2 linked regions of the Diceros bicornis minor genome follow. The protein of the gene in region 1 purifies or fractionates together with the protein of each later gene. This does not show direct contact. Links are inferred from orthologs where the notes say so. Each region holds a gene or a part of one and is shown on either strand. Other genes may lie near its edges. The genes, in order: PTPN12 and PSTPIP2.

Region 1 (7,593 bases):
TCTTCAAAAAGTTATTTATAAACATATATTAAATGTTTATATCCTTTTATATAGTACTTCCACTACTGGAAGATATCTTTTGCAATAATCCAAAATAAAGAAGTTTCATGCATAAATGTTTATTACAGAATTATGATATAAAATAGCAGAAAACAAATGTCCTAAACATTCAACCATAAGGAAATGGTTAAGCTATAAAATCGTCACCAGGTGAAATATTATATAGCCACTTGAAATTATTTTTACAAATGAAAAATGCTTATTAAAACAAGTTGGAAAAAACTCAAGAATATAAAATGGTATATGTAGTATGGTCACAGAGAAGCATTAAAACACTAACAGACAGTGTCTCTGGGTGATGAGACTACAGAAAGGCTGGACAGAATAATGGAAAGAGCAGTTTAGATGCCCACTCCATTTTCCTAAAGGTAAGGTATTATCAAATATTACTCTATAATTTATGAATTTGAAATAACGAACATTATTACTTTATAACTGAATAGGGTTATAATAGCTAGTTTATCTCTAAGGCTCGGTTCTAAAATGCTAAAATTTAAAAATGCATTTTTTAATCCACATCAGAATTTAAAGATAAGAACAGTTAGAATCTATCACCTGATTCTATTCTCTTTTCATGGCAGAGGGGACATGGTTTCCCCCCAGCCTTCCAGTAAAGGGAAAAAGCAGCACCAATTAGAAGTCTTAATTATAGCTATTGCTTATCAAGTCATGGAATAAAAAAAGCAAGCACTATAAAAGAATACCTTTAGTCATCAAATCTCAAATGTAGTCACCTAGCTCTCCCTAGGTATTATGGAAGAAAAAGGAAACTCATTTAGTCCTTGAGAAATGAAATCTCCAATAGGAATCCCTGACTCATCCCCAAAGCATGAATCCTAAGGCTACTTCCCCAGTACTGAAGTTCAAAGACTGGGCACCTGTCCTGATGGCCTGCATCACCAAACAATGCTCTTTCCTGACAGGATATGACCAGGGATAACAAGACGACTAGCATACAAAGGAGAAGTGGCCAGGGACCGCAGCACCTCTTCACCCATAACCAAAATAAGACTGTAAAGACTAGTTTTAAATATTCTAAGTAAATATTTTCTTCTATTTTTGCTAAAGAGCAGCAAAACGGGACTCCGACCAATTATTGTGACATCATTCAAAAGACACCAACATAATCAAAATTCTCAATAGTAAGATGGGAAAATGTCCTTTTCTTTAGCCCTCTCAGATCAAAAAGCAATTTTTCAAAAATACATAGGCTAAATATCGAGAGAACATGTTAAAAAGTAAGGCATAGATAACTTAACCCTTTCCAAAAGACACTAACAAAATCTTACTCCTATCCTCTATTATTGGTCTAGGGAGGCGGGAATCACAAAACTCAACAATACTATTATAATATTGTGTAAGGTCAAGGATTTACTTAACAAGCTGTTAACAATTTTAACGGTAATGCTTTACTAGACCGGTCTCTTCAAAATATGAAAAAGTATTTCAGTACTAATTTCACCTGAACATTATAAACAATTCAACCGTACTTCGAAATAAAAACTAGCCAATGTTTGCCGCTCATTCATTTTTACAGAAATTAACTGTGTATCCTTTTTACAATCAAGCATTTCGGAGTTAAGTGATTATTCTTGGAGGTGTATTTTGCCCAGGAGCAAAATTTTCCCTAGCTTATTTCCCATTCCCAAACCCCGCCAAGGCTAAGGAGCAACCACTTCCCAAAGTCCCACTTCCTTTTCCATTCCCCAGACCTCCAGGGTTTCCAACGCCCCAGTCTTGCGCAATATCCGTAGGAGCAGCAGCCGCAACCACCGCCTCCTAAGCCGGGAAACAACCCTAAAGGGAACATTGTCCAGCAGAAAAATAAAGGGTGGGGGGGCAATGTAGGAAGTCGACTTCTGGTCCCACGCCTTCGGATCTGACCCCCTCAGCGATGGATCTAAAGCAATTTCACGAACAGGACTTTTAACCTCCTCTCCAGCCCGCCTGCACAAGCGGAGGGCGGAAAGTGGGGGGGCGGGCAGGCTGCGAAGGTTATCTCCCAGTTCAGGGCTTCGGCCCGTACGGTCGCCTCCGCCCCACCAGGACTATTGTTCCCAAGTTCCCCACCCCCACCCCGGATAGGAAGTGATAGTCACATCCCCTCCGCCTTCGGCAATAACCCCGCGGGAGCCGAAGCAGGCTTCCTTCAGGATAACCCCCCTTCTCACACACTTAGCCCCTCAACCTAGAGTCACCCTGAGCGCAACACCATCTCAAACCTGAGTCTCAAGGGACACGAGACGGGACAGGGGTGAATGGAAATGAGGCAAACCACGAGATTCCTTGTGGACAATCCATTCCCAGGCGTCAGAGATAATGAGTGCAAACCTAGAATCGGCAGAGGTCCCATCCACCCACTTCTGAGACCAGCTGGAGCAGAGGCACCCCACGAGTTAATGCCCACCTCCACACCCGTGCCTCGGCCGGCCGCGCTCCGCTCCTCCCGGGCAGACACCCTGTCTCGAGCCCGCCGGGAGGGGCAGGCTGCACCGGGAGGTGAGCGGAGACCAGCCCCCGGCCTGCACGGCACTCGCCTCCGGCTCCTGGCCCGGGAAACAATAGGGGGTCGCGGGCGGCCGTGCGGGGTGCGGGCACGGCCCGGCGGCCGCTCTCTTCGCGCCCTAGGCGCCCGCTGAAGGGGCCGCGAACGCGCGTGGAGAGGAAAGGAGGCCCGGATCTATCACCTCCCGCCAGCCTCCGAGCCCACCCGGCGCGCGCCCCCTGCTCACTGCCACACACAAAGCGCCGGCGGCCCGGCCGGCCCGGCGAGGCGGCGGGGGGCTCCGGTGCCGGCGAGAGGAGGCGACGGCGAGGGGAGGGACTCACCATGAAGTCCCGGGCGAAGTTGTCCTCCCCATTGTGGTCCGGACTCTTCATGGCCTGGACCCTCTGGATGAATTTCCTCAGGATCTCCACTTGCTCCATCCTCCCGCGTCCCCCCGGCCGCGGCCGCTGCCCCCCCCGCCGCCGCCGCCCGCCCGCCCGGCGCAGAGCCCGCTCTGTCTGCCCCAGCTCGCTCCCCCGGCCCGTCCCCTCCCTCCTGACCCCCGCCAACCCCGCCGCTCCCTCCTCCTCCCCACCGCCCGAGGCGGCGGCCGCGGCGGCCCCGGCCCGGCTCCCGACACCACAACTTCCAGGAGCAGCCGCCGCGCTCCCACAGTAAGAGGCGAGCCGCTGCGGCTAGCGCCAACCCCAACCCCCCGCTTGCTCCATCCTCCTTCCCCGCCCTCCTCCTCCTCAGTCCGAGACGCCGCCACCGCCTCAGGAACTCGGCTCTCCGCTCGCCCTGCCCCCCTTCCCGGTTCCTCCTCCCCGCCCCCCTCCCCACTAGCAGCCGCAGCCGCCGCCGCCTCTCCCCATGGGCGCGCCCCCGCCGCCACCCAGACGCGCGGTCCCGCGCTGCGGCTCCGCCCCGGGCGCTACGCCGCGCCGGTCCGCCCCCGCCCGCCCGCCTCCGGGCCACTCCCCCAAGCCCGCCCCGCCGGCCTCAGCCCGGCGAGGAGTGGCTGGAAGGCGCTTTGGCTGCCGGCGGGGCGACTTGACCCAACTTCCGGGGCGGGGTCCCGCCCGGAAAGCTCTAGGTCTGAGGAGCGCTGGGAGAAGGGAGTTGGACAGGGAGTGGGGGAGACCCTAGTCGGTGGAGTAGGACTTGAGCTGAAATTTGAGGTCTAGCCGCCTATTAGTGGGAAAGGCGTATTTCTAGAGTGCTTCCGCGCCGCTGCCAGCCGCGGGATGGGACTACAGGTCCCGGCCGGCAGAAGTCCAGCAGCGGGGGCGGGAGGGGGCGGTGGTGGGAAGAGAGGAAGGCTGGGAACTGTAGTAGTGTCGTCTCCACGGTCACAGCAGGTATGTCTTCGTCTTACTGGTGGCTTGAGTGTTGACGGCAGTTAGACCTTGGCGCTTTGGGGAATGGCTACGGCCAAGAAAAATGAAACTCTCTTTGAGTGAAAGGACGTTTGCTTTTTGCAAATCCGTCTAAACCCAGCGAGTGAGCGCCAGAGATCCAGAGTGCGTCCTAATACATACCACGCCTATGGTGGGGGCTCAGTATTTGCTAAATAGAAGGGAATTTGTCTTCTTGCCTTTAGATTCGCAGGACTTTAGAACTGAATAATAGACTTTTATCCATAGGATGCACTTTATACATTGTTATACGTCTTGTACATCTTCTAGTAATCAGAACATCCATGCTGGTCTAATTCACCATTTTACAAAGAAAGTGATTTGCCCGAGGTCCACCAGCATATTTTTAGCAGAGCCCAAACTAGAACCCAAATTCTTTTGCTTTCAGTACACCACCATATCGCCTCTCACTAAGGAACATAAACTTATGATAATGTGATAGAAGTGAAAGATTTGATCCATGGACTTATTTTGGTCACTTACACCCAGAAACGACATTTTTTACAGATAGATTGGTCAGAGAATTTGCTAAAATAGGAAATATCAGTGTTAGGCCCCTTTTCCCAGATGAATATTTAGAAGCACCATGGAATATAATGATAAACTCATTGAAGAAAATAGGTATGAAAATAGGTATGAAGAAAACACTATTTCCTCTTTGTTTTAAAGAAAAATATTTTTCTTTAAAATAATACAACTAATATATACCAATCCACTCCTCTCCTCAGAAAGATGCACTTCCAGATGTGCCCTTCCAAATCTCTTCCTGTGTATTTGTATGCGTATATGTGCATGTAAAAAGATACAATTTTGCTCTGTATTTTAAAAATTTACTTAGAGGAATAGTTTAATTTCTAAGGTAAGCTCTATTTGAAACAAGGGTCTGGAATAGTCTACATTAATCCGATACTGAGACTCGGTTTCACTGGATGTGGGCTTAATCACCTACTAATATAGCTCTCTATAGGTACCCTCTTCCCCCAGAACTGGGAGAGAAACTAGACTGTAGGTGAAGAAATGGGCAGATTTGATAAGTCAAAAGAATGTACAAACCAGGCAGTGATTGATAAAGACTGTATGCTAGATAAGTTGTGTAACAGTGTAGTGACAGTCTGGTGGGAAGTGTTGCTTGTTTGAATTGTTGAATCCTATTTTGGCTAGTGTTTTTGCAGTCTTTCTCTCTCATATTGGCAGGCTTCTCTCTTGCAACACTTGAGTGTTCTTGGAATTCTTAGCTGCTACCTTTGGCATCTGATGTAGGTTAGAGGAAACAAATGTGAAGTATCTTTATGGATTTAACTCTCTTGGAAAGGTTTAGCAGTGCTTTCCTCTTTTTACTATATTTAGGTTTTGTTTCAATCTACAGATATTTTTTGAGCACTTTAAAATATGAGAGGTTGTGCTGTGTGTGTGTGTGTATGTGTGTGAGAGAGAGAGAGAGAGACAAAAATTTTAGGGATGGCTTCTTTTAGAGCTTATAGCTTAGTTCAGGAGACAGGAAAAACAGTGAACCCTTAGTTCCTTTAAGTTAATACATGCAAGATGAGTGATACAGACAATGAGTGGTTTAACAATTCTGAGAAGAGAGAATTGTGAACCAGGTTGTGAGCATGAGATGGTCAGAGAGGACCTTGAAGGATAAGTGAAATTAGGGTTGAACAGGAAGAATAACTCCCAGGCAAGAGGTGTGATGAAACAAAAAGCATGAAGATGGCAAAGCAGAAGTTTGAAGCAGAACTTTTGTACCTGTGTGAAGGCTCTAAAGTAGATTGGGACCCAACTCTGGAGAGCATTGAATGGACGGTTAAGGATTTGGACTTGATACTGTTGGCAGTGGAAGCCACCAAAGGTTTCTCAGGATAGGATTAAAATTATGAAAATATTAACCTGGCACGTTTTGGATAAATTGTGAATTAATAAAGGGAGAGAATGGAATGAGAGATATTCGGAGCCAATACATGAAGCAGCAAAAGGTAAAACTAATGTCATAGCACTGCAGTTACAAAGACACAGATGGAGGTGAGAGAGACTGAAAGAACTGACAAAACTAGGTGACTAACTGAAGAAGGCAAGAAAGAAGGTAGAATAAAAAATGGCTGGAATGACCAAATTGGAAGAGATCAGAAAGTTTGACAGAACACAAGGCTGTGCATGGTATGGGCAAATGGGGACTTTCATACACAGATGGTGCGAGAAATTGGCATAACATCTTTGGAGGCAATTTGGCCATAAATGTATCAAAATGGAAATGGCATGCATGCTTTGACTGAAAAATTTATAGATAATATTTACAGCTTTGTGCAAATATGTATGCTTATTGTAGCCTTATTTGTAATGGCAGGAGTGGAAACAGTGTACGTGCCTATCAAAAGAGCATTGGTTAAAAAACAAAACACTTATGTATAATGAAGTTCTGAGAAGCCATTTAAAAAATGAAAAAAATAATCTGTGTATGTTGATGTGGAATAGGCCCCATTTACTTATTAAATGAGAAAAGCTTGGCATACATGTGTTTATGATATTCTTCCTTTTATGTAAAATGGAATGTGGATAGAATGCTTGAACATACATAGAATTTTTCTGAAGGATACTTCAAAAACTATTAGCTGTGGTTGCTTCTAGGAGGGCCTTGAGAATCTTTGGTGGAAAGGAGACAACTTCCAATATGTATACCTTTTTATATTCTGAATATTTTACCATGTGTGTGCATTACTTTTCCAACAAAATTAAATCTATTTAATTAAAAAAATGTTTTAGACTTTCAATCCAGATGATAGGAGGAATGGCAGTATCTTGAGTAGAAACATGCAAATAAAGAAAAAAGGAAGCAGATCTTGTTTGGGAAGTTTTTAAAAACAGCACAGGCTAAATTTCAGAATGCCCACCTACTTACACCACAGTTCTTGAGAAACTTGACCACCCTGCCCATCCTCAGCCACAGCCAAAGGTTTGGGCACTTGACCCAAGTTAACCAATCCATGTAGGCTGGCCAGTGACCTATGGCCTGGTGTAGGAACATGATCTGGGCCAATCGGTTTTCACTGTTAGGAATCTGAATTTAGAAACCTAGAGAAAGTCGTTAAACAGCAAGGGCTGAGGCTGAGTGCCATGGGGTAGAATTAGGGATTTGGCAGGCAGAAGCCTTGTGAGACAGTAGAAAGTTTAAAGAATCTGGGTAGTCCAGAAAGGAGCATTAAGCAGGCGTGCAGAGATGTGTAGAGATGTCATGGTATAATAACCCGTGTGGTGGTGGGAGAGATGAGGAGAATCCCTGGAACAACTTGACTTCCTCATAACTTTTCAGGACAGGTTTGGTTGACATTTATTCCATAAATAAATTCTGCTTTTCCTGAAACAGAATAGGGCCATAATAAAGAGCATGGGCTCTGAAGTGAGAGAGATGAAGGGTCAAAAACCTGCTCTGTTTCTTACTCAGGGCAAGTCACAACCTCTCTCAGCTTCAGTTTGATCTTCTAGGAAAGTCGCCTGGTGCTGTCTTAGCAAGACGTGTTTCATAATTAGTGTACTACACATTACACTTGCTCATAGAAGAAGAACTGGTTAAACAAACAAAGAATGAATGATTTCCGGACCTTTTACTTTTTTACCTCCTTTCTCTTCTTTAGG
Region 2 (7,843 bases), on another chromosome or scaffold:
TAGAGAAAGCATTTGACAAGATCTAACATCCATTTATGATAAAGACTCTCAACAAAATGGGTATAGAAGGAAAGTACCTCAACATAATAAAGGCTATATGTGACAAACCAACAGCCAACGTCATACTTAACAGTGAAAAACTAGAAGCTATCCCACTGAGAACAGGAACAAGACAAGGGTGCCCACTCTTGTCACTCCTCTTCAACATAGTACTAGAGGTTTTGGCCAGAGCAATTAGGCAATAAAAAAAAATAAAAAGTATTCATGTTGGAAAGGAATAAGTGAAACTCTTGCTGTTTTCAGATGACATGATCCTATATATAGAAAACCCTGAAGAATCCACCAGAAAAGTATTAGAAATAATTAACAACTACAGCAAAGTTGCAGAGTATGAAATCAACTTACAAAAATCAGTTGCATTTCTATACACTAATAATGAACTAGTAGAAAGAGAAGTCAAGGATACAACCCTATTTACAATTGCAACAAAAAGAATAAAATATCTAGGGATAAATTTAACCAAGGAGGTGAAAGACCTATACACTGAAAAGTGTAGCACATTATTGAAAGAAATCAAAGATGAAACGAAAAGATATTCCATGCACATGGATTGGACGAATAAACATAGTTAAAATCTTCATGGGGCCGGCCTGGTGGCGTGGCGGTTAAGTGTGCGTACTCTGCTGCTGTAGCCCGGGGTTCGCAGGTTTGGATCCCAGGTGCGCACCGACGCACCGCTTGTCAACCCACGCTGTGGCAGCATCCCATATACAGTAGAGGAAGATGGGCACAGATCTTAGCCCAGGGCCAATCTTCCTCAGCAAAAAGAGGAGGATTGGCATCGCTTGTTAGTTCAGGGCTAATCTTCCTCACACACACACAAAAATCTTCATATTACCTAAAACAATCTACAGATTTAGTGCAATCCCAATCACATTCTTCACAGAAACAGAGCAAAGAATCCTAAAATTTATGTGGAACAACAAAAGACCCCAAATAGCAAAAGCAATCCTGAGAAAAAAGAACAAAGCTGGAGGCATCACAATACCTGACTTCAAAATATACTACAAAGCTATAGTAATCAAAACATCATGATACTGGCACAAAAACATGCACACAGATCAATGGAATAGAATTGAAAGCCCAGAAATAAACCCACACATCTATGGACAGCTAATCTTTGACGAAGGAGCCAAGAACATACAACGGAGAAAGGAAAGTCTCTTCAATAAATAGTGTTTGGAAAACTGGACAGCCATGTGCAAGAGAATGAAAGTATACCATTATCTTACACCATACACAAAAATTAACTCCACATGGATTAAAGATTGGAATGTAAGACCTGAAACCATAAAATTCTTAGAAGAGAATACAGGCAGTACACTCTTTGACATCAGTCTTAGCATCATATTTTTGAATACCATGTCTACTCAGGCAAGGGAAACAAAAGAAAAAATAAACAAATAGAACTACATCATACTAAGAGCTTCTGCAAGGCAAAGCAAACGATGAACAAAACGAAAAGACAGACCACCAACTGGGAGAAAATATTTGCAAATCATGTATCTGACGAGAGATTGATTTCCAAAATATGTAAAGAACTCATATATCTCAAAAACAAAAAAACAAACAACCTGATCAAAAAATGGGCAGAGGATATGAACAGACATTTTTCCAGAGAAGATATACAGATGGCCAATAGGCACATGAAAAGATGTTCGACATCACTAACTATTACGGAAATGCAAATCAAAACCACAATGAGATATCCCCTTACACCTGTCAGAGTGGCCATAATTACCAAGACAAAAAATAACAAATGTTGGAGAGGATGTGGAGAAAAGGGAATCCTCATACATGGCTGGTGGGAACGTAAACTGGTTCAGCCACTATGGAAAACAGTATGGAGACCTCTCAAAAAATTAGAAACAGAAATACCATATGATCCAGCTATCCCACTACTGAGTATTTATCCAAAGAACTTGAAACCTGCAATTCAAAGAAACTTATGCACCCCTGTGTTCATTGCAGCATTACTCACAATAGCCAAGACGTGGAAGCAACCCAAGTGCCCGTCAACTGATCAATGGATAAAGAAGATGTGGTATATATGTATGTGTGTATACACACACACACACACACACAATGGAATACTACTCAGCCATAAAAAGACAAAATCATCTCATTTGCAACAACGTGGATGGACCTTGAGGGTATGATGTTAAGCAAAATAAGTCAGACAGAGAAAGACAAACACTGCATGATTTCACTCACATGTGGAAGATAAACAAGCACATGGATAAAGAGAACAGATTAGTAGTTACCAGAGGGGAAGGGAGTGGGAGAAGAGTGAAAGGAGTAAAGGGACACACATGTATGCTTTCGGATAACAACTAGACTATTGGTGAACACGATGTAGTCTACACAGAAACTGAAATATAGTGATGTACACCTGAAATTTACACAATGTTATAAGCCAATATGACCTCACTAAAAAAAAAAAAGGTCCATTTTAAATTTTGATGACATGGCCAAATGTCTGTTCACAGAGGTTTTCAATTTTTACATGCAAGAGTATCTGTCCATTTGGTCAGCACTGTGTGCTATCAAACTTTTGTTAGGAAAAATGTATTTAAGGCCTTTAGAAAATACTTATGAAGTATTGTTAAGTTAAAAAAGCAAGACCCAAAACTTTATGTACAGCAAATGCCAATGTATATTATTGGAAGAGATTATGCCAAAATATTAGCAGTGGTTATCTTAAATGTATTGATCATTAAATTTCATGTCATAATTACTTTAGTAGTGTTATTTAACTTCGTTAGCAAAATTTCCCAAATTTTTTATAGACCCTTGGATATAGTACACATTTTACTTGTTTTTTTTTTCACAACACCTGTGCTGGTGATAAGCTTAAGTGTTGGAGGAATGAATGAGTAGTATTTTCCAGCAGCAAGGACAACCATTTGCAATTTGCAATCTTGCCACCAGGTGGTGGAGGAGAGTTAAAATTCAGGGATCTTTGAGGCCTAAGCGGCGAAAATCAAGTAGAACTACCGTGAGAGCTTGTAAGGCTTTCTAAGACTTAAAAATATATGTATTAAAAATTAAAACATAGACAATTAGAATTGTATCTAAACTGTTTGTTCCAAAATCTTCAAAACTTCCAGGAAAAATCTTGGTCCTGTCTTTGGCACTTTCGTTTTTTTTTGTTTTTTTATAATTTTATTTTTTTTTCCCCCAAAGCCCCAGTAGATAGTTGTATGTCATAGCTGCACGTTCTTCTAGTTGGTGTATGTGGGACCTGGCCACCGCCGGGGGTTCCCAACCCGGGCCGCCAGCAGCGGAGCGCGCGCGCTTAGCCGCTAAGCCACGGTCGGGCCCTACACTTTAGCTTCTTCCATTTCCCTGGTTAGCGGCTATTTCTCACCCCTCCTGTGGCTTAGTTTGTTTACTGTGGCCTCTCCTGCACCCGGATGGTGCTGCCAGGCTTCTCTGCCTTCCTTCTAACCCCACTACTCTCCAAAGAGATGAACAACCAGATAAATGGATGCGTGCCCTTGGAATAACCCAGGGCTGGAGGACCCCTCTCCGTCTTTGTAGGTGTGGATGACTCTACAGGTGGGATTCATTACAGTGGGACTGGGGGTGGTTTTACCAGGCAGAACCTTTTAGCTGTCCTTCAAATCACCCCTTTCAAAAGCAATTGCCCTTTCACTGTGTCTAGAATGAGCTAGAACCTGATTAAGAGGCAAATGCTTGCCTCTCCAGGCCCTGGGTTGTGCGCTGGGCATCAGCACTCGGTCTTGGTCCCGGTGACCTTCATCCAGCACCTACTCTCTGCTTAGGGTGGATCTGCCCCAGGAGCGGTGTTCGTCTTTGGCCCTGGCTCCCTTTAGAAGGCTGGAGCTCTAAGCCAGCCCTTTATCCCTTAAATACTCTGTGATCTTAGACAAGTCATTCAGCCTCTCTGGGCCTCAGTTTTGGCTCAGAGAGTGTAGCAGGCAGCAGTACTTTGTCCCAGAGTACCTTATTACTACAAAGCAAGGAGGAGTCTGCCTCGCCCTGGGGTTATGTTTTTAGGGGTGGAAGTGGAGGGAGACGAAGGAAGCTCTGGGCTCCTATTGCTGAGGTGGGATTGCTGGGAAGGGTCTTGGGTCCTGAGAATGAGGAAGGGGTCAGGGAGAGGCTGAGCTCCTGGACGCCCTGAAAGGGCCTCACTAAGGGACCTAGAGTCAAGGGGAAACAATATCAATGACCTTTCCACGGCTTTTAGACTAAAAAGTGGCCGAAGGGCTGATCTGCAGCGGGTGCACCCGAGGTCGTGCACACGACTCGCTGAAGTGTCTTCACCTCACGCGACCGCTGGCATTGTCAGTCCCCAGGCTTTACGGAACTGACTCCTGGTCCACGCGACCACTTTTCCATCAGGCGAGGGCTCCGCTGAGCCTGAATTTCTCTGCGAGGAATTCGGTCTGGGGAACAGGGAGCTTGTGGGCAGTAACTGAGCCTACTTGGGGCAGGCCACAGGATCAGTTCCTTCCAAGCCTCAAAGTCTTCCTGAAAGAGGGGGAAATTTAGGGTTCCCTAGTTGAGCGTTGCCTGACGCCCGGGGCTTGAAATCTGCCTAGGTCCCCGCACGGGACACGAGGGCGGCGCGTCCAGGCTTGGGTTTCCCGCGGGGCGGGAGCGAGCAGCGCGGAATCGGGCGTGGTCTAGGACCCAGGGCGGGCCTCCGGCCGGCTGTGGGACTCCGAGGAGGCGGCTGCGGGACCGCGGGCCGTGACTGTCCGGCTGTGACCCGCCGCCCCGGCTCCGCTCCAGCTCCGCTCCGCACCCCCGACGCACGGCCATGACGGGCTCCCTGTTCAAGGGGAACTTCTGGGTAAGTCGGCGGGGCGGGCGGCCGGTCGCCGGCTCGGGACCCCGGGCGGGGGGCCAGCGCGGCGCCACTCCAGGACCGTGCGCGGAGCCGGCTGGGGACCGTGTCCCGAGCGCACGCCGGCCCGCCGGTCCCTCTCCGCCGGCCCCCCGCCGCCGCGCGTCCTCGCGTCCCCGGGCTCCGGTCCCCGGACCCCCAGCAGCGCGTCCTCCCGCGGGCGGCTGTAGCCCGAGCCTCGTCGAGTCGGGACATCCACCCTCATCGCGCAGGTGAGGAAACCGAGACCCAAAGGGAGCGGCGACCTGTCCGGGGAGAGTCGCCGGTGGCCCCGGAGGCTGCGCCGCGCGCGGATTTGGGGAGACTTGACAGCGGCAGTCACCCCGAGGGTCCGCGGGAACGCACAGTCCGTCCGAGCCCCGTTAGCGCCGGACTTCCCCCGCAGACCCTCGAGGGCTTCTCTTGCAGAAGCGTCCTCCCGTCGGGCAGCCGTGTTTCCTGAGCCCCCTCCCCGGGCCTTGGCCCAGCCCAGAGGGAGGCGATGCCTGTGTGAGACCCTCCCAGCTGGTGGGGCCATCACAGGAGGTAGCACCGGTCCAGCTAGTAGGCAGCAGGTCTGCTTGTCCCCCTTCCTCTGTCTAGTGCCCCCTTCCCCTCTCCTCTCACTCCCCAGGTGCCCCTCAAGGGTCTGTATCCCCTCCGGAGGAGGAACCACTCTCATCTCTTTAAGGCAGGAGCAAGAAGGAAACACACCTCAGAGCTGACCTACAGCTGCCAAGTGGCCCGACTTCTTACTTGGGACCCTGCTTGCCCTCCATTTAGCTTCACAGCTGCTTGGCAGGTCCCTATCCCCCCTCGTGGGTTGCTGGGTCGAGAAACCTGGCTGTGTGGCCTCAGGGACACAGTTTAGACCCTTTTTCTAGAGTTTTCAAGGTTCTTCTGGGGCACTGCCCACTTCTAGGGTGCAGGGCTGTGGAGCATCACGGAGAGGGTGAATGACCTCACAGTTGGCCCTGTGAGGAGGCCTGGGAATTCGTCAGGTAGATTATAGGACTTTTGGGTCCCAAGACAGACATTATGGGAAAAAGCAGGGCAGAGAGACCTGCCTTTCCCCACCTCAAAAAGTGTGACACCCGGTTTTCAGATCTCAGCCCAAGTATGACCCTTCAGGGAAGCCTTTCCTGATTGCACCCGATAGGCCCGTCACCTGCTCACATGGCACACATTCTGTTCCTTTATAGCATTTGTTCGTTTATAGTTTTGAATTCGGGGGCCTACAAACATGTGAGCATGTTGTGGACAGGTACTGTGCTGGCTCTCAGTGCCACCGCCCCTTGCACAGGCTGACCACAGTGGGTGCTCAGCAAATAGTTGTTGAATGACTAAAGTGGATCTGTAAGGCCCACAGGGCATGTGGCCAGGGGAGAGCAGCAGCCTCCATCCCCTGAGGGCTCCCAGGCCGCTGTAAAGCTGCTCCCAATGTGTACTTGCAGGAGTGGTTAGGGGAGGGGCAGAAATGAGGTCTGGGTTGGGACTTAGCCGTTGGGTGAAGGTCTGGGGGAAAGGACTTTCTCGGCTTATGCTTTGAGAAGGTGTCTGACATCCTGAGAAATAGTTTGCAAAGGTTATCTTCCATCTCTAATTTCCGGTGACGCTTTATGTCAAATAATAAAAACAATAATAGCTAACATTCCTGTGTACAGTCTGTGGCATACACCTTTCTAAATGCTTTACACACGCTACTCATTTAAGCTTCACAATTACCCTATGGGGTAGATTACTTACTATCCCATTTAAAATTTTTTTTTTCCCCGCAAAGCCCCAGTAGATAGTTGTATGTCATAGCTGCACATCCTTCTAGTTGCTGTATGTGGGACGCGGCCTCAGCGTGGCTGGAGAAGCGCTGTGTCTCTGGGTGCCCGGGATCCGAACCTGGGCCGCCAGCAGCGGAGCGCGCGCAGTTAACCGCTAAGCCACGGGGCCAGCCCTTACTATCTCATTTTACAGATGAGGAAACTGAGTGGCAGAAAGGTTAAGCAACATTTGCAAGGTCTTAGAGCTGTTAAATGGTCGAGCGGGACTCTGCATGGACTAAATGCTCAGTGGGTGCCTTCAACAAGTCTGGTGCTCAGCGAGAGTGTCCCAGCATAGCTGTCTGCATGGCCCCTTTGGCACTGCCAGAGGTAGACAGTCGGTCACCATTGGACCTTCACGTGAATGTTTCTTTCTCCTCCAGCTCCAACCATGAGCTCCTGGAGGGTAGGCACTGGGTGTCACCATCAGCTGAGCCTCCAGCACCTGCCATAGTGCCTTACATATGGATGCACAGGAATCAGGCAGACAGGACAGTCAGCCAGGACCTGGGAGAAACTGCTGGGGACCTCAGGGGCTGCCTGCAAGGCTTTCAAAACACTCTCAGGGGATGGGGGGGTGGGCAAGGCTGTTGTGAGCACTGAGGGGATGGAGATAACTTTCAGGTTTCAAGGATGAGAAAGTTGTGATTAGATAAGGTAGAAACCTTTGGAAACACAAGTGGGAATCAGTTGATTGAATTTAATAAATATTTATGACATACTTTCTCTGTGTAAGGAGCTCTAATGGAGGTGGCATTTGTAGGAGTAAGACCACCATCTTGGTTAGATTCCTCCTGAGCAAGCGAGGAAGGGAGGGCAGGCTTTGGCCTTGATGCCTGGCCTCAAGGATGTGGAGGAGGAAGGGGCAGGAGGTGGCAGAAGAGGGTAGAAGAGGTCCGTTCCAGGGTGGAGACCACAGGGAGGGGGAGAGGAGGAGGCAGGTGGGAGGAATGCAGAGGGTAGAAGAGGTCAAAGCCACAGGACAAGGTTACCAGTTGAAGGTGGGCAGTCAGAGAGAGGAAAGGAGGGCTGGGAGGAGGCTCTGTGTAAGGTGAACTGGAGAATGAGGTGTGGGGCCCCAAAATGAGGAAGTCGGGAGGAGGAACTGGTT

What was found.
Region 2: the proteins of PTPN12 (region 1) and PSTPIP2 purify together in Homo sapiens (affinity purification with mass spectrometry; 4 studies listed by BioGRID and IntAct, counting the BioPlex papers as one, with this or other methods). This does not show direct contact. The link is inferred for Diceros bicornis minor from reciprocal best matches to the Homo sapiens genes PTPN12 and PSTPIP2.

What each region holds. Positions count from the first base shown.
Region 1 is NC_080742.1:15,353,562-15,361,154, reverse strand, and holds the start of PTPN12 (tyrosine-protein phosphatase non-receptor type 12), read right to left. Parts: upstream 3,009-7,593; 5' UTR 2,989-3,008; coding exon 2,890-2,988; intron 1-2,889. UniProt on the Homo sapiens protein: Dephosphorylates a range of proteins, and thereby regulates cellular signaling cascades. Dephosphorylates cellular tyrosine kinases, such as ERBB2 and PTK2B/PYK2, and thereby regulates signaling via ERBB2 and PTK2B/PYK2.
Region 2 is NC_080755.1:39,090,768-39,098,610, reverse strand, and holds the start of PSTPIP2 (proline-serine-threonine phosphatase-interacting protein 2), read left to right. Parts: upstream 1-4,744; 5' UTR 4,745-4,852; coding exon 4,853-4,885; intron 4,886-7,843. UniProt on the Homo sapiens protein: Binds to F-actin. May be involved in regulation of the actin cytoskeleton.